Linked DNA regions of Arabidopsis thaliana. Each later gene encodes a partner of the first gene's protein in a complex. Each region holds a gene or a part of one and is shown on either strand. Other genes may lie near its edges. A codon is read from its position in the direction of its gene.

Evidence for each region.
Region 2: the proteins of AT1G01230 (region 1) and LCB1 are in contact, whole or in part, in a cryo-EM structure (PDB 7YJM), measured with the Arabidopsis thaliana proteins. Residues at the interface, in NP_563622.1 of Arabidopsis thaliana: Gly95 (codon at 3,051), Gln96 (codon at 3,054), Gln97 (codon at 3,057), Leu98 (codon at 3,060), Thr99 (codon at 3,063), Lys103 (codon at 3,075), Thr106 (codon at 3,084), Leu107 (codon at 3,087), Val110 (codon at 3,096), Tyr113 (codon at 3,407), Leu114 (codon at 3,410), Ser117 (codon at 3,419), His118 (codon at 3,422), Tyr122 (codon at 3,434), Pro143 (codon at 3,497); in NP_001031796.1 of Arabidopsis thaliana: Gly36, His37, Val40, Glu41, Leu44, Ile48, Leu51, Leu52, Arg54, Lys55, Ser56, Tyr57, Lys58, Pro59.
Region 3: the proteins of AT1G01230 (region 1) and LCB2 are in contact, whole or in part, in a cryo-EM structure (PDB 7YJK), measured with the Arabidopsis thaliana proteins. Residues at the interface, in NP_563622.1 of Arabidopsis thaliana: Met1 (codon at 2,118), Ala2 (codon at 2,121), Asn3 (codon at 2,124), Leu4 (codon at 2,127), Tyr5 (codon at 2,130), Val6 (codon at 2,133), Lys7 (codon at 2,136), Ala8 (codon at 2,139), Val9 (codon at 2,142), Pro10 (codon at 2,145), Pro12 (codon at 2,151), Met14 (codon at 2,157), Arg16 (codon at 2,163), Glu19 (codon at 2,172), Trp20 (codon at 2,175), Tyr23 (codon at 2,184), Pro24 (codon at 2,187), Gly25 (codon at 2,190), Val26 (codon at 2,193), Thr28 (codon at 2,199), Thr29 (codon at 2,202), Leu32 (codon at 2,211), Ser67 (codon at 2,967), Met71 (codon at 2,979), Thr74 (codon at 2,988), Pro75 (codon at 2,991), Phe76 (codon at 2,994), Asp78 (codon at 3,000); in NP_001031932.1 of Arabidopsis thaliana: Met1, Ile2, Thr3, Ile4, Pro5, Tyr6, Leu7, Ala9, Val10, Tyr13, Phe14, Phe20, His51, Glu52, Asp53, Tyr55, Ser192, Arg203, Val211, Gln213, Phe430, Ala432, Thr433, Pro434, Leu435, Leu436, Leu437, Tyr471, Phe472.

Annotation. Positions count from the first base shown.
Region 1 is NC_003070.9:95,503-99,763, forward strand, and holds AT1G01230 (ORMDL family protein), read left to right. Parts: upstream 1-1,909; 5' UTR 1,910-2,117; coding exon 2,118-2,303; intron 2,304-2,954; coding exon 2,955-3,103; intron 3,104-3,405; coding exon 3,406-3,544; 3' UTR 3,545-3,738; downstream 3,739-4,261. Other genes in the region: FKGP (L-fucokinase/GDP-L-fucose pyrophosphorylase), read left to right, coding at 1-50; AT1G01225 (NC domain-containing protein-like protein), read left to right, coding at 562-655, 1,052-1,740.
Region 2 is NC_003075.7:17,216,147-17,222,161, forward strand, and holds LCB1 (long-chain base1), read left to right. Parts: upstream 1-1,762; 5' UTR 1,763-2,141; intron 2,142-2,161; exon of another isoform or gene 2,162-2,270; intron 2,271-2,351; 5' UTR 2,352-2,451; coding exon 2,452-2,557; intron 2,558-2,669; coding exon 2,670-2,764; intron 2,765-2,888; coding exon 2,889-2,980; intron 2,981-3,060; coding exon 3,061-3,154; intron 3,155-3,232; coding exon 3,233-3,305; intron 3,306-3,399; coding exon 3,400-3,532; intron 3,533-3,670; coding exon 3,671-3,845; intron 3,846-3,946; coding exon 3,947-4,087; intron 4,088-4,173; coding exon 4,174-4,269; coding exon of another isoform or gene 4,270-4,293; exon of another isoform or gene 4,294-4,361; coding exon 4,362-4,503; intron 4,504-4,602; coding exon 4,603-4,730; intron 4,731-4,804; coding exon 4,805-4,978; 3' UTR 4,979-5,479; downstream 5,480-6,015. Other genes in the region: AT4G36470 (S-adenosyl-L-methionine-dependent methyltransferases superfamily protein), read right to left, coding at 1-160, 246-329; SFH12 (SEC14-like 12), read left to right, coding at 5,953-5,968. UniProt on the Arabidopsis thaliana protein: Component of serine palmitoyltransferase (SPT), which catalyzes the committed step in the synthesis of sphingolipids, the condensation of serine with palmitoyl CoA to form the long chain base 3-ketosphinganine.
Region 3 is NC_003076.8:7,979,834-7,985,927, forward strand, and holds LCB2 (long chain base2), read left to right. Parts: upstream 1-1,807; 5' UTR 1,808-2,055; coding exon 2,056-2,181; intron 2,182-2,283; coding exon 2,284-2,349; intron 2,350-2,503; coding exon 2,504-2,592; intron 2,593-2,788; coding exon 2,789-2,934; intron 2,935-3,007; coding exon 3,008-3,132; intron 3,133-3,231; coding exon 3,232-3,325; intron 3,326-3,411; coding exon 3,412-3,575; intron 3,576-3,815; coding exon 3,816-3,977; intron 3,978-4,301; coding exon 4,302-4,428; intron 4,429-4,546; coding exon 4,547-4,713; intron 4,714-4,830; coding exon 4,831-4,938; intron 4,939-5,108; coding exon 5,109-5,204; 3' UTR 5,205-5,558; downstream 5,559-6,094. Other genes in the region: AT5G23680 (Sterile alpha motif (SAM) domain-containing protein), read right to left, coding at 5,740-6,094. UniProt on the Arabidopsis thaliana protein: Serine palmitoyltransferase (SPT). The heterodimer formed with LCB1 constitutes the catalytic core. Involved in the regulation of the programmed cell death (PCD) signaling pathway. Plays an important role during male gametogenesis and embryogenesis.

The sequences.
Region 1 (4,261 bases):
AACATGCAGAGTTTGATGTCAAAGTTTACAACTGGAGCATCTGTATTTGAAAGATACATACAGTGTCAGTGTGTCATCATCTTGATTCTTGTAAATTGATATATTTTTTTGGGACCTTTGGAAAAAATAAAAGCAGAAGAATCTTTCAGATTTGCAATTAAAAACGATGTCGTGTGGTAAACAAAATCCTTTGCTTGACCAAGTCGTTCTCTTCTTGCTTCTGGTTGGTTTACTTCATAGTTCAACGACCACCAAGCTGTGAAGTGACCGTATTACCCCTGCCTGGAATCAAGGTCAAAAGGCCCCGGAAAATCAGTACGTTGGTAGCATTTGGATTTGGAGATAACGCCGTTAAAAGACTCTGTAACGGGTTTGCTCAACAGCTCTCTCTAGTTCGTTTATCGAATTAGATAATGCCACTCCAAAAAACGTTACTTTACCTTACCTATCTCGCTGACGTCAGATCCCACCGTTAGAGCTTACACTTGTAACGCCGTTTCCTGCATTTTCCACAAGCAAGGTAAAAAAAAGCTTTGTGCAGAGAGAGAGAGAAGAAGAAAAATGGGTTTGCTTACGAACAAGATTGAGAGAGAAGAGCTAAAGCCAGGAGATCACATCTATACTTACAGAGCAATCTTCGCTTATTCTCACCACGGTAACTTTAGATTCATTCTTCCCAAGTTTGCTCCTTTCTTTCTCGTTCATTCAATCATAACATCAAAAAGTGAAATTATCCTCAATGCAAGTCTTTTCTTTTAGTTTCTACTGGTCGGTTTAATCTTCTTATTGAAACTGTAAATTCACAAAGTTGACGACTTTATCTAGATAGATCTTGAAGACAATGGTCTATATTCCAATCTTTGCATGACCTAATTTCACCCTGGCTCTGTATTTTGATGTTATTCCATCATATCTTCTGATCTCTGATGGACTTTATAGATGATTTTTGTTTATTTGACATATTTTTATCCCAATTTCCTCTGGTGATGAAGAATTGATACTGTTGTAGACATTCCTTCATGGGCTTTGATTTGATTGTGGATTTTTGCAGGAATCTTTGTCGGTGGGTCCAAAGTTGTTCATTTCAGACCTGAACACAACCCCATGGATTCATCAACATCATCAATATCATCATCTTCCTCTGAAGATATCTGTTCCATATTTCCTGATTGCGGTTTCAGACAACCGGACAGTGGAGTAGTCCTTTCTTGCTTAGACTGTTTCCTCAAGAACGGCTCACTCTACTGCTTCGAATATGGAGTCAGTCCATCGGTTTTCCTAACCAAAGTCCGCGGAGGGACTTGCACAACCGCGCAATCTGATACAACTGATTCAGTCATCCACAGGGCAATGTACCTTCTCCAAAACGGATTTGGCAACTACGACATTTTCAAGAACAACTGTGAGGATTTCGCGCTCTATTGCAAGACCGGTTTGCTTATAATGGATAAGCTCGGTGTAGGGAGAAGCGGTCAAGCTTCTTCAATTGTTGGTGCTCCTTTGGCTGCACTCCTCTCTTCTCCTTTCAAATTGCTTATTCCAAGTCCCATTGGTGTGGCAACAGTTACTGCTGGTATGTACTGTATGAGTCGCTATGCTACCGATATTGGTGTTAGAAGCGACGTCATTAAGGTCTCAGTTGAGGATTTGGCTCTCAACCTTGACGTAAAGACCATTGAGCAAGGTGAAGAAGAAGAAGAAGACGAAGAAGAAGATTCTGATACCGACTATGTTAGGTGACAAACAGATACCTATCACCTTTGTTCACGAATTTCGATATACATAAGAAAACATTTCAGTTAGAATCCTCATGTTGGTTTTATGTTCCCTTTATTGCATTTGTTGGCCTATTTTCTGTCTGTACAAAATGAAAACGCAGACGTTTTGGTTTGGGTAATGTCAAAAATATCCCAATAATTAATTAATGCCCAGTGTAGATGCAAAAAAGCAGTCGTCGTCTTTCACGGGCACACAAAATTAAACCAAAGAAACAAACAATCCTTGTTCTCGCCGAAATAGAGAATTTTGTGAATCTGGGTTTTTAGTTCAGGTGTTAATATAAGATTTTGATCAAAAGAAGACGAGATTCGATCCGATCCGATCTGATTGAAGAAGAAATGGCGAATCTGTATGTGAAAGCGGTTCCACCACCGGATATGAATAGGAATACGGAATGGTTCATGTATCCAGGAGTTTGGACGACTTACATGCTTATTCTCTTCTTCGGTTGGCTCGTTGTTCTCTCTGTCTCTGGTTGTTCCCCTGGAATGGCTTGGACTGTTGTTAATCTCGCTCACTTCGTTGTAAGTCTTCGATTGTGTTTATGCTTTAGAGATGATTTTTTCACTTAGGGTTGTGACTTTAAATTAGATGATGGATTGATTCCTTGTTTTTTTTTTATTTCCTGAGATCTGGATGTGAATCTGGCTCTAGTGTTTGAATTGATCTCTTTGGTTATTAGCAATTTTTTAGTTGGTTTAGGGTTCGAATGAAGAGGCAATTACCTTCTGATTGATCAGTTTTAGCTATCGTATATCGTTGAGCTTGGATCAGGCTTCGAATTAGGATACAGTTACCTTCTTATCAATGAATTGATCAGTTTTGGTATCAGCGATTTTGAATTGATCTGTTTGGATACTATCAGCAGTGTTGACTGTTGAGTTGATCAGGCTTTTAAGTAAGATGCAATTCTCTTCTAAGTTTGAATTGATCGGTTTTGGATCAGGCTTCGAATTAAGATGCACCTTCTCGTTAATGAATTATCAGTTTTTGATATCAGAAACTAAAACTACCTATGGCATCAATGCAATTTCTTAAGGTCTAACTGTTTGATATAATGCGGTGACTTGTAAATTGGCATTGCTTGATTGTCAAAACCAAATTTAATCTAATTTCTAATTACTCTTTAGGAAAATGTGATGTCTGAGTAGAAATTTGTGGATATTTGTTGTCAGGTAACGTATCACAGCTTCCACTGGATGAAAGGAACTCCTTTTGCAGATGACCAAGGAATCTACAATGGTTTAACTTGGTGGGAACAAATGGACAATGGTCAACAGCTTACCCGCAACCGCAAATTTCTTACCCTAGTTCCTGTTGTTCTGTAAGTCCCAGCACCTTGTTCCTCAAAATCTCACCACTCTTGTCTATTTCCAATCTATATTTTCTTAGCAAATTATTTTCTTTAGCTGCATATATCCTTGTGTCTCATATGGTTAATAAATATGCTAATTTCTCAATACACATATCTAAATCCGGTGATGTGTAACGGACTAGTTCTAGAGAACTCTGTATACGCGATAATGTGTATAAACAAGAGCTGCATTTATCTGGATGAACTTTTAAGATTGAGCTCTTTAGCTTTTGTACTTGTTTTCTGACTTTATAACGACACATTTAAAACAGGTACTTGATTGCATCGCATACAACAGATTACAGACATCCATGGCTGTTCCTCAACACACTCGCTGTGATGGTTCTCGTTGTTGCCAAGTTCCCCAACATGCACAAGGTACGCATCTTTGGTATCAATGGTGATAAATAAGTTTCCTTTACGGCAAGAGAACACCTGAAAGAAGGAAAAGGGGATATAAGCGAACATATATATGTGTAAATGTTCATATGAGTTGGTTTAATTCTCGAGTCATGTTTTTTGTTGGATATTTGTAAGTAAACTCTCTAATTTTGAAGCTTTCATCTTTTACCTTTTATAATAGACACGAAAAAGCTTTCCCTTCATCTCCCCACTTCACTTCAGATAATGGGCCTAATAGCAATATGGGCTTGAACAATAATTGAATTTAACAATGGCCCAAAGATTCCTGTCGTGGTGACTCATGAGTTATCATAACACCAGAATGTTTTCGATTGAGCGTAATGATTCAGTGGGATCTAAAGAACACGTGGCTGCCTACAAGATCTCTAACAGCTGGTTAATGACACGTGTCATAGTTAAAGTCCACCTGGATGGATATTATATCATGGTGTACGTATACAAAATAGTTAATCCCTCTTCAAAATTGAATAAAGCTAACAAAAGTAATCAATTAACGTGATTAAAAAAAAAAAGAGAATGCTAATTGGACCCCGAAAACATGATATATCCTGCAAAATTAAAGCCGACAAAACGAAAGAATGACTAATTAAAGTTGGAATAAGACTAATGATTTTTTTTTTTTTTTTTCTTATTGTGGTCCAATGTAAGAAAATAAATAAAAACATCTTATCCATTAAATCGAAAGTAGGGTCCATATCGTAATAG
Region 2 (6,015 bases), on another chromosome or scaffold:
CAACTTGGACGGTTTTGATGAAGTCTGTAATGGTGGAGAGAGTGTTTGGTCCTGAAGAACATCCTAGATCAGCTATTCCTAAACTCTTTGGTCTTGTCTCTTTGTAGAGTTGTTGAAGTGTCTCTAGTGTTATGTGCTTTGCCGTATCAGATGCTTTCTTCTACAAGATTAAAACAGGAAAAGTGGTTATAGAGAGTCAAAATTATGAACTAAGTGAAGATATGTGGGAAATCTCAAGAACCTACCTGGAGGGAAGAGTTTCTGGCATAACTAGTTTTTCCATCTCCTCCTGTCATGTAAAACTCTCTCTCCATATCCTTCTTATCCATCACAATAACAATAAAAGTGAAGAAATTTAGTATAATTTTGGGTTAGGGTTTGTTCTTTTGGTGTTAGAATTTGCTTTTCTTAAAGGAGAAATCTTTGGCCTGTCACTTCATTCTTCCATTACCCTACCTTTTTTTTTGTGTGTTTACTTTTCCATCTATTTTCTTTCTTGAAAATACGATGTGGGATTCGTTCATCATTGGTCATGATTCAACGAAAATAAATTTTTCTTTGGTTGGATGAATTTAGTTTAAGGAGAAATGGCAGGTGTAGTCCAAAGTGACCAAAAATAGGAATAAACAAAGTAGAGGATAATGTTTCATGTAAATATAAAGGATAAATTAGTCAAACAACATCATGATGGCTTCATGTAATGTTTGTACTTTCTTTACTCTGTTCTTGCTATCAGTGCTAGACTCTGTTCTTGCTTTGCGTGGTGGACTCTATTGCCATTTCTTGTTTAAGGACTTTTATTCGTTTAAACATAAACTAAATTTCATTAGAAAAATTACCCTTGCTAGAATCTATTTGGTGATTTATATGAAAAATCGTGGAATAGAATATGGATGATATTTTTAATTGTAATGTAAATGTTTCAAAACATACAAAAAAGTATAGGAAACTTTGGGAGATAGGAGGAAGAAGACTGATTGACTTTTGAAGGTAGAAAAAGCTATACAAGAATGAGTGATGATGATTGGTGTGTGTGTGTGTGTGACCACCATTTCCTTCTCTTTTTCTCTCTTTCTCCTTACCGTAAGGCTTTTTTAGTAATCTTCTTTCTCTCTCTGCCTTGCCTTCAAGATTTTAGTGGTGGTCATGAATGCTTGTTGCGTCATAAGGGTAGTGTAAATGCTCTGTTAGGTGAGAGAGACTGTGTGTTGGTACTTGGTATGATAAGGTTTTTGTGGTTAGAGAGAGGGCCGAGGGGGACGCACGCGTGTCGCTTGAGGGATTAATGCAAAACCGTAACGTATCAATCTTTTTTCTTCATATAATCTCTTCTTCAACCATGATCGTCTCTCTCTTGTTGCTTACGTTTTGTTTTTTCAAGTGTGGTGAAAAGTTAATCACTTAAAAGTTAGTCATTGGGCCTCTAACAAAGCCCATATTTAAAACCTAAGACCGTTCCATTAAAATGACGTCGTATCTAAGCAACTAATTCGTGAGATGTAAATATGAATATGATATGATACTATGGTTGAACAGAATAGGAATAATATATGTATAGTGTAATGTAAATGCTACAAAATATTACAGAAAAAGTAGGGGGAACTTTGGGGTCGAATATGATTACAAGAAGGTTAGAAAAAAGCTAAACAAGAATGAGTGGTGATGATTGGTGTGTGTGACCACCATTTTCCTCTTTCTGTCTCTTCCTTACCTTTAGGCTTTAGTACTCTTTCTTTCTCTCTTTGCATTGTCCTTTAAGACTTTAGTGGTGGTGATGAATGCTTACTAGTGACTGTGTCACAGTGTGTGCTGTTGAAACATTGGGCCTCTAGGCCCATATCTAACACTTAAACGGCGTCGTATCGATGAACCAACACACAGATCTGGGCCCAGGATTCTACTGACGTATTACGAACATAGACAGATCCGCTCGTCTTCTTCTTTTACTTTTTTTTTTTTCTCTCTGAAATTGATTTTTTTTTTTTGCCGTCTGCGTTATCAAAAATCTCGAAAAAACGTTGAAAGTCAATCTTTTTGCATCGCCGAATTTGAACAACACTCCTCGTGTGTTTGACACTCTTGTGGGCACGATACCTTCTGCTCCTTGTCCATTTTGCCACCCAAAATCCAATTGGGATCAGGTAACGTTCCTCGTTTATTTGTCGGATCTATTTGTAATCATATATACTTTCTTAATCTGTTCTCCGAGATTTCGATTTCTCGTTGCTCAGTGATCCGATGCCAGATCTTTCCTGATAGTTTTTTTTTGGGTCGAATTTGGATTCAAAATTGCCACTTTTTGTTGTGAATTTTGAAAATTTGTAATACTAATTGAAGATTGGGTTTTGTAGGTTTTCCCAAAGTTGAGCTAGCTTCTCTTATGCTCGATTCGTCGAGCAAATTAATACTATAGAAGAAAAAAGTACAGAGCTTTATTAAAGCAAATTAGCAATGGCTTCGAATCTCGTGGAAATGTTTAATGCTGCTTTGAATTGGGTTACTATGATTCTGGAGAGTCCTTCAGCTAGAGTTGTCTTGTTTGGTGTCCCAATCCGAGGTATAGATTTGAAGAAACAACTTTAAGTGAACTTTGTCTGTCTATCCAAGTTTGTTGGTTATTTGAGATTACTAAAGATTTCAACTTTTTTGTTTTTGTTTTCGTTTTCCAGGGCACTTCTTTGTGGAAGGGTTGTTGGGTGTTGTCATTATCATTCTCCTCACTCGGAAGAGTTATAAACCTCCCAAGCGACCATTGACCGAGCAGGTTCTGTCTCAGATCCTTTCTTGATATTGGTTTGATAGATCACATAGGATTTGGTTCGTGGTGACATCTTTGATGTGTGGTATAGTTGAAATGTATTGAGTTTTCGGGGTTTTTTATTACTCAGGAAATAGATGAGTTGTGTGATGAGTGGGTTCCTGAACCTCTTATACCGCCAATTACTGAAGACATGAAGCATGAGCCACCAGTTCTTGAAAGGTAACGTAGAAGACTTCTATGTAGTTCGTTGTATAGCCTTATTCTGTGTTATGCTTAAAGATTTTGTTGGGTCCATACAGTGCTGCTGGACCGCATACAACAGTTAATGGAAAAGATGTGGTGAATTTTGCCTCAGCTAATTATCTTGGGCTCATTGGCCACGAGAAGTTGCTGGTAACGTGAAGCTACTTTGTTTTCAATACAATCTCTCTTCTGTTTGAATAGTTTTATTTAAGATTTGTCTTATGCCAGGAATCATGTACTTCTGCATTAGAAAAATATGGGGTCGGTTCTTGTGGGCCTCGTGGATTCTATGGTACAATTGGTAAGAAGACAATAATTTTCTAAATAGATACTTTGGTTCATCCATTGGCTCGCTTGGAAAGGGTTCTTACTGTTTGATTACTTCTCTTGACTAGATGTCCACCTTGACTGCGAAACCAGAATATCCAAATTTTTGGGTACTCCTGATTCAATCCTTTACTCTTATGGACTTTCCACAATGTTCAGCACAATTCCTTGTTTCTGTAAGAAAGGCGATGTCATTGTTGCGTAAGTACACAATTTCTTATAACATCGTTCTACTTATTAGATTACGTTAGTAGAAATCCCAGGATTACATTGAACATCTTTGTTTGAAACTTTTTTATCTCGATATTAAACTCATTCTTGTCTTTTCTATTTTCTTAGTGATGAGGGTGTTCACTGGGGAATACAAAATGGACTTCAGCTTTCAAGAAGTACAATTGTGTACTTCAAGCACAATGACATGGAATCCCTTCGAATTACCCTTGAGAAAATCATGACAAAGTACAAGCGCTCAAAGAACTTGAGGCGTTATATTGTAGCTGAAGCTGTATATCAAGTACCTGGCAGTTTTCTTTCTTCTCCTGCTTCCATATTTTGAAAATTCTCCCTGAACTGTGATGCTTACCCATTTGCCTTTGGGTATGTTAAAATCTACAGAATTCAGGTCAAATTGCGCCTCTGGATGAGATTGTAAAACTAAAAGAGAAGTATCGGTTTCGTGTTATATTGGATGAAAGCAACTCTTTTGGTGTGCTTGGCCGTTCTGGGAGAGGTCTTGCAGAGCATCATAGTGTCCCTGTAAGTATGATTGACACACATTTTAGTAGTGTTCTCATTTGCCAAACCTGATGCTAAAAATTTCACGGCGGTTTATCTTTAAACAGATTGAGAAGATAGATGTTGTGACTGCTGCAATGGGCCATGCATTAGCCACAGAAGGTGGATTTTGCACTGGGAATGCCCGCATCATCGATTACCAGGTAAACATCGATCATGCTGATTAACTAATTACAAACAAAATTAAAAAACTACCGATAATAGAAACTTTTCTCTGGGACGCTCAAATGCACAGAGACTTAGCAGTTCAGGATATGTGTTCTCTGCTTCTTTACCACCATACCTTGCAAGTGCTGCTATCACCGCCATTGATGTCATTGATCAAAACCCTGATATGTTAGTTAAGCTGAAGCAAAATGTTGCTCTGTTATGGAAAGGTTTGATCTTCAAGTTTTAATCTAATCTAGCAACAATTAGAGTTTGATTTAGTTTGTTATCTTCCTCTAATTGAAAAAGAAATGCTGGGAACAACGCAGGATTGTCAGATATCAAGGGGATGTCATTAACAAGCAACCGGGAATCACCTATTGTTTTCTTAAAATTAGAGAAATCTAGCGGTTCAGCTAAAGATGATTTGCTTCTACTTGAGAAAATGGCTGACCGTGTAAGTTCATTGTTTCTTTGCAAAACCAAATCTAGACCCTGTCCCCGTTTCTTGACATGACTAGATGCATGCAGGCTCTGAAGGAAGACTCATTGTTGGTTGTGAGTTCTAAAAGATCATTTCTTGATAAATGCCGGTTACCTGTGGGAATCAAACTCTACGTCTCAGCGGGACATTCGGAATCCGATCTTCTTAAAGCGTCGGAGTCACTGAAGAGACTTGCTTCAGAGCTTCTACTCAAGTCCTGAAACACCGAAACTCTTTTTTCTTCAAGAACAACAACACTGAAGGGAACTCTTTGAACACATCCGTGTGAGATAGTAGACAACAGAATCCGCAGAGTCAGTAGCTTGAAGATGTTCATAGCAGATTCCTAAACTGGTTCTCCACTTTCAGTGATGGGCTTGTGGTTGATCTGAAGCTCAATTGACGAAGGAGGATTATCGAAGACAATGGCTTCTTGTTCTTACATTTATTTCATTTGATCATCTGAGTTCTTTTTTTTTTTTTCCTACTCATACCCTTCAATGATCAAGTAGCTTAGTGTTGTTGCCGAAATTCAAAAACTTTCAATTTATGGGAAACAAAAAAGTTCATGTGCTGACATCAGCCTCTTAAGGCTTTCTGAGTTTCTTGCGGTAAAAGAAAGTGTTTTTGCCTCTCTCAAATCTCAATAGTATTGACACGTGTCAGTATAACACTCGTGCATAATTGACACGTGTCAGTATAACACTCGTGGGCGGTATAATGTGAACGAAAGAGCGAGGGACAGGTAATCTCTCTTCCTCTGTTTCTAAGTTTGTATAATTAGAACTGCATAACGAAAAACAAAAACAAAACAGTGACCAAAAAAAGAAGAAGAATCAATGGTTGGGGAAAGAGAGAATATGAGGTGGAGCTTTACCTCGACGTTAATGGAGTTGAGAATCCAATGGAACGATTTTGAGAGATTTTCGGAGCAATCTCACTCTCCTTTTATCTTTCTCCTTCCTCTCATTTCCTCTTTGCAGAGGTAATTTATCTTTTAATTGTCTCTCTGTTTTGTTCTGTTTTCTTAACTTCATGTTCATCGTTATCGTTGTTCGAATTTGATTTGTAATTAGGGAATGTGAATTTCTTACAGGAATTTGGCAAAGGGCATTGGCTAAAAATAATAAGACACTCGTTAGAGTGCTCGTCCCTCGTGCCCTTACCTGCCTAATTCCAACTATCTGGCAAAATCATGACTTTGATCCAAGGTATAGTAAACAAAAATGAAGAGATTTTTTAGTTCTCTGTTTTGTTA
Region 3 (6,094 bases), on another chromosome or scaffold:
TTTCATTACGATGGCACTCTTAAGCAGTCTAGTATCTAGAGTGTAGACAATAGACATGCATGGTTATTGAGACTGTTTACCTAATCTCATTACCATTTCCTCAGCCAGTTGATAGATCATGCTTCACTTTGGCTTCTTGTGTTTTTTTCCTCTTCATCATATTTTATTTGTAAATAGGTGATCGTGTTCACAAACTATATACGTTATACATTATTATTTATAAATGAAAAACCGGAATTGGTTAGTAAATTAAACCAATTATGATATGTGCTTGGTGCGTATGTGTATATGTATGTCTATAACTCTATATATCCTTTATATAAACTCCCACTATGGCACTCTCATCTTTGCCGTTAAGATATGAATTAGATATAATTCATCAATTATAAGGCAAAACTTTCGAATATGGTTGGATTTTAGTAGAGCTGGCCGGCAGCTTTGGTGCACAACAATTGTCTCTCTTCTTTACAAAATTTATATATATTATTATGTTGCTAATTAAGTTTATCTGCTCAGACGTATAAGATATTTGTACTCACATATTGCATATCGTACTGTATATGATAATGGAATGTGCTAAGGATATATATATTTAAAACGTTTTCATAAATCTCATCAAGGACTTGATCTTTTTATAAAAGCATTTTCGTGCCTTTCTAGGTGTATGGACGTATTTAAACGAAGGTTTATCTAGTCCTTCCTCAACTTTATTAAACTGTATGCAAATTAATCAGTTAGTTGTTTATTTTGTAGACCAAATATAATCCGAGTCTATATTCATTTGCTGATTCAAAAAGAAAAAGTATATATATATATATATATATATATTTTTTTTTTTTTAAAATTAAATTCAATTAGGTTTAATAAAATTATACACCGGACTAAAATAAAAAACCAATTTGAATTATTCATCCTTCAAATAATTCTTGGTAAGTTAAACGAAACCAAATCAAACATAATCACGAATTTTCCTTACTCACTCGTTTTATGCAAGATGAAAATTACAAATCGAATAAATATACCAAAATATCAAATTAAAAGTCACATACATATAGTAACGAAATCGAAATTTGAGAAGGAAAAATTGATTTTTATTTTCCTCTCGCTTGGTTGGTGCATGCACGATGAAAATGTTTTATCTTTTTTTTTTTTTCTCTCAAAAACCGACTTGACATTGTATCTATCGGAGTGTTGTAAATTATGTAACCTCTTTTGATAAAGACGAGACTCTTTTTCATCGCAACAATGACATATCCTAATTCTTAGAAATCCTTATTTGGCTGCTATAGAAGAACAACATATTTTTTTCTTTTTCCACCAGCCATTCTCCCATCTACTCGTTGGTGCAATATTCACATGGAAAACAGTTGGATTTAAAGGAGATTACAAAACTTAATTCATAAAATCGAACTCTATATATGGAAATTAAGGGTGACATATTAAATGCAATTCAACCCAACTAAAAATGTTGCAACCGAAACAAATCAATCAAACTAAAATAACATGCAAGTCCAAATATATCATAATACTAATAAATATGATTCTTTTGTCTCATTAAGCATCTGGTTCTATGGTGTAGTGGTTAGCACTCAGGACTTTGAATCCTGCGACCTGGGTTCGACTCCCGGTAGAACCTCATTTTTTTCTTTCTCCAAACTAAATTTTAAAGTTCTAAACAAACAGGTCATCAGCTATCACATTTGGGCCTAGTTTGAATTAGTGGACTCCAAGGCCCAAGATACGTAAAATCGCTATTTCGTTTTAAGGTTCTAAAGATAAATTATCTGTACTATTAAATATTTTAATATTAAAAAAGAAAAGAAATGGTTTTATGATCCGATCCCTTCTCAATCTCACGGAGGGGAAAAGATTCCTCCAATTCAAATCTCTGTCTGTGTCTCTGTCTCTCAACTTTCAATTTCTGAGAGAGTCGGAAATATTCTCCAGATCGCCTAAGGCAAATTCGTTTTCCGATTCGGCCTAGCGACGGCGAGAGAGGAGAGGAAGAGGCAAGTTGATTGACCGGAGAAGAAGACGAAGCCGTTCTTGGAGAAAATGATAACGATTCCTTATTTAACCGCTGTATCCACCTACTTCAGCTATGGATTGCTCTTTGCTTTTGGTCAGCTCCGAGATTTCTTCCGTCGCTTCATTGATTGGTGGTTCACTAGCAATCTCCAGGTCTGTCTGTTTTCTCCAGTATATAATGTACGTAGATGTGGATCAATGTACAAGTTTGTTTAACTTTATGCTTCTTATTCCGGTGAAATTGGCTATCGACAGGGATACGCGCCGATCTGTTTGGGGCATGAGGATTTCTATATCAGGCGATTGTATCATCGGATTCAGGTAAATTCATTATCAAATCTATGATTCTGTTAACAAAATCGAATTGATTATTGGCATTGTAGTTATGCAAGCTTTAAGCGTTGTGAATGTTTGGCTTATGAGTTTCTCGTGTTTACTGCTTGATGACTAATGTTTATCTCCGTTTTGCTTCAAGGATTGTTTTGAACGACCTATATCGAGTGCACCTGATGCTTGGTTTGATGTGGTTGAGCGCTACTCTAATGACAACAACAAGACGCTTAAGTGAGTCTGTCTACTTGTGTTTTTCTATCAGTAGTCGTAGCTTCTTTGATTCTGTTGGGAGAATATGAAAATGCTGAATTCGAATGGTTGATACAGTCTTGTAAAATTGTCCCATTCAAGTTTAATTAGGGGAAGATTTGAATTCTAAATTAAGAAGGTTGCTGAGTAAACCTTTGTTGGTGTTGACTCTGTGCAGGCGAACAACAAAAACTAGCAGGTGCCTCAATTTGGGGTCCTACAATTATCTTGGGTTTGGTTCTTTTGATGAATATTGCACGCCTCGTGTTATTGAGTCCTTGAAGAAATTTTCAGCAAGTACATGTAGCTCTCGTGTTGATGCAGGTAAAGTGTCTTTGCCTATAGATTCAAGAACCATTTTGGCTCTGTTTCTAAACAAACTTTTTTCTGCTATCAGGAACTACATCCGTGCATGCAGAACTTGAGGAATGTGTTACTAGGTTTGTGGGAAAGCCTGCTGCTGTTGTTTTTGGCATGGGCTATGCAACAAATTCGGCTATCATTCCAGTCTTGATTGGAAAGGTATGCATTGGTTTACCCTTTATGATGAAGGCGTATGTTGTCTCTTTTCTAAAACCCATGCTTAAGTTGATATTTTTTCCTGTGATGTCTTGTATACAGGGAGGGTTGATAATAAGTGATTCTTTGAACCATAGTTCTATTGTCAATGGTGCTCGAGGTTCTGGAGCCACTATCCGTGTTTTCCAGCATAACAGTAAGCATTTGTTGTGTTTCAGCTTCAGAGGTTCTTTCCATATAATGGATGGCTTACATGTATATTCTCTTGCTTGTGTTTCTTAGCGCCTTCCCATTTGGAACGAGTTTTGAGAGAACAAATTGCAGAAGGTCAACCTAGGACACATCGACCATGGAAGAAAATTATTGTTGTTGTTGAAGGTATTTACAGCATGGAAGGGGAGATTTGTCATCTACCGGAAGTTGTGGCCATATGCAAGAAGTATAAGGTGAGACAATATTCCTGAATTACTGATTATGAGAATTGGTTGATAACTGAAACTATTTTGTGTGTGCAAATACCCCTTAAAAAGTAACTGGGTTCACTATGTGCCACATTCAATATAAGCGATAAATTAAGGAACTCTATTGACTAAAATTACCCTTTGAAATGCCATATTTTCTAAACTATTGGGAGTTTTTTGTTGCGTGAAAAGATACACCTAACTTATCTTCTATCTTCGTTTCAGGCATATGTTTATTTGGATGAAGCTCACAGCATTGGGGCAATTGGTAAAACAGGAAAGGGTATTTGTGAACTCCTGGGAGTTGACACAGCTGATGTGGACGTAATGATGGGAACCTTCACAAAATCTTTTGGGTCTTGTGGTGGCTATATTGCTGGATCTAAGGTTAGAAAATGCTACATTTGTTTTTATTTACTGATCTTGCAAATCTCCTGCAGTCTTGTTTTGGTAAATCAAGTTTCTGACCTTTTAGTTTAGCTCAAAAAGAATATTGATAGCCGTAACTTTCACTCAAATATAAACCATTAACCAAAAAAACGCTCACTCAAAAGTCAAAACTTATTTTGAACCTGCGAAATGACGATTAGTATATATATATAAAGGCCTTCAGTATCTATACGACATACCATGTGATACTTAGGTAAGCTGTACACTTCTTAAATTCAACAAAAGTATAATCAATTTATTATTTTTATTCAACTTCTATAGGAGCTCATCCAATATTTGAAGCATCAATGCCCAGCTCATCTTTACGCAACATCCATACCAACTCCTTCCGCACAACAAATTATATCTGCCATTAAAGTTATTCTGGGAGAGGATGGTTCAAATCGAGGTACTCGATTTTTTTTCTCACCGTGTCATTAATTGGCCTCATTTGGGTCACTGAGCACAATCTAATCAGGTCATGACTCATAACCTAAAAACTCCCATTCTTCTCAAATACTGAACAGGGGCACAAAAGCTAGCAAGAATACGTGAGAACAGCAACTTTTTCCGGGCTGAGCTGCAGAAGATGGGATTTGAGGTACTTGGAGACAATGATTCCCCAGTCATGCCTATAATGCTTTACAACCCAGCAAAAATCCCAGCTTTCTCAAGAGAATGTCTGCGACAAAAAGTAAGTTCTATTATTCAAATCCAAATATCATATGAGAACTCGATTAACACAAGGTAACAAGATCAAAAAGTAAATGATTAACTTGTGGGTGCAATGGAACCTTGAAACTCTGAACAGGTGGCAGTGGTGGTCGTGGGTTTCCCAGCTACACCTCTACTGCTGGCTAGGGCACGTATTTGCATCTCCGCATCTCATTCAAGAGAAGATCTTATAAGAGCCCTCAAGGTAAAATATTGCATTCTACCCACTTGTGTTTTTTTCTTATTACAAATAAGCGCTATTCCACAGAAGTCCCAAAGCACAAAACTGCTAAAATAGATCTATATGCTTCGATAGAGCTCGGTTTCAATGCAAGACAAGTTTTGAATCAATGTGTGTGGTTTTGTGTTGGACAGGTTATAAGCAAAGTAGGTGACCTTAGCGGAATCAAATATTTCCCGGCAGAGCCGAAGAAAATAGAACAGTCGAAAAACGACATCAAGCTGGATTGAAGAATTAACCAATGAAATAGAGATGCATCCAGGAAAACGCAAGCAAATGCTGTGTTATGTGTTAACTTCTCCATATCTCTCTGATGTGACACAAATCTGATTTCTCAGGGGTCCAGCCATTTCCTCTCTAAGTAAAACACAAACCCAGAGTTAGTCCACCTTTCCTCAAGTCTTGTTTACCATGGTGCTACTGCATTTATGTGATTCTTCATCCATGTTTTTCCAAGAGTTTAAATGTATAGTAATATCGTTGAATGATGTCAGAGTTCTTTTATTACTCCGGACAACAACTGTTTTCTATGTTTGGATTATTTGTATCAAAAGGTTTTGGATAAATTGGTCAATTAAGTTCCCAACCATCAAAAACCACAAGGTACAACAATCACAAATAAGTTAATCCTTCTTCATCTTCCTCTACCATTACAACAAACTAACTAAAATGTTACATTCAAACCAAAAAAACATCAAAAGAGAGAATTAAGTTTCAGACATTGCCAATGGCTGGTCACAAAAAACAAAACTCTTCCACCATTTTTCACGAGAACTCCCTCCCAAGCTTCTGAATTGCACAATACATCTTCCTCCTAGACCCAACAGCATTAATCCCCATATCTTTAAGATCCTCCAATGTCAACAATGGTAACACTTGTTCATCAACTTCATGCATCTCAAACATTGGCCAATATCTCCCTAACCCTAACTCTTGTAACCATATCTTCACTCCTTCTTTTCCTCTTCCTCCACTTTGCCAATCTCCTAACAATTCAACCTCTCTATTCTCGTACCGTCTTCGTTCTTTCATCGGACTCTCCGAATCTTCTCTGCTGAAATCCCTAAACCCTTCTTCTCCTCCCAATTCTTCATCCTCTTCCTCTTCTTCTTCCTCTCCA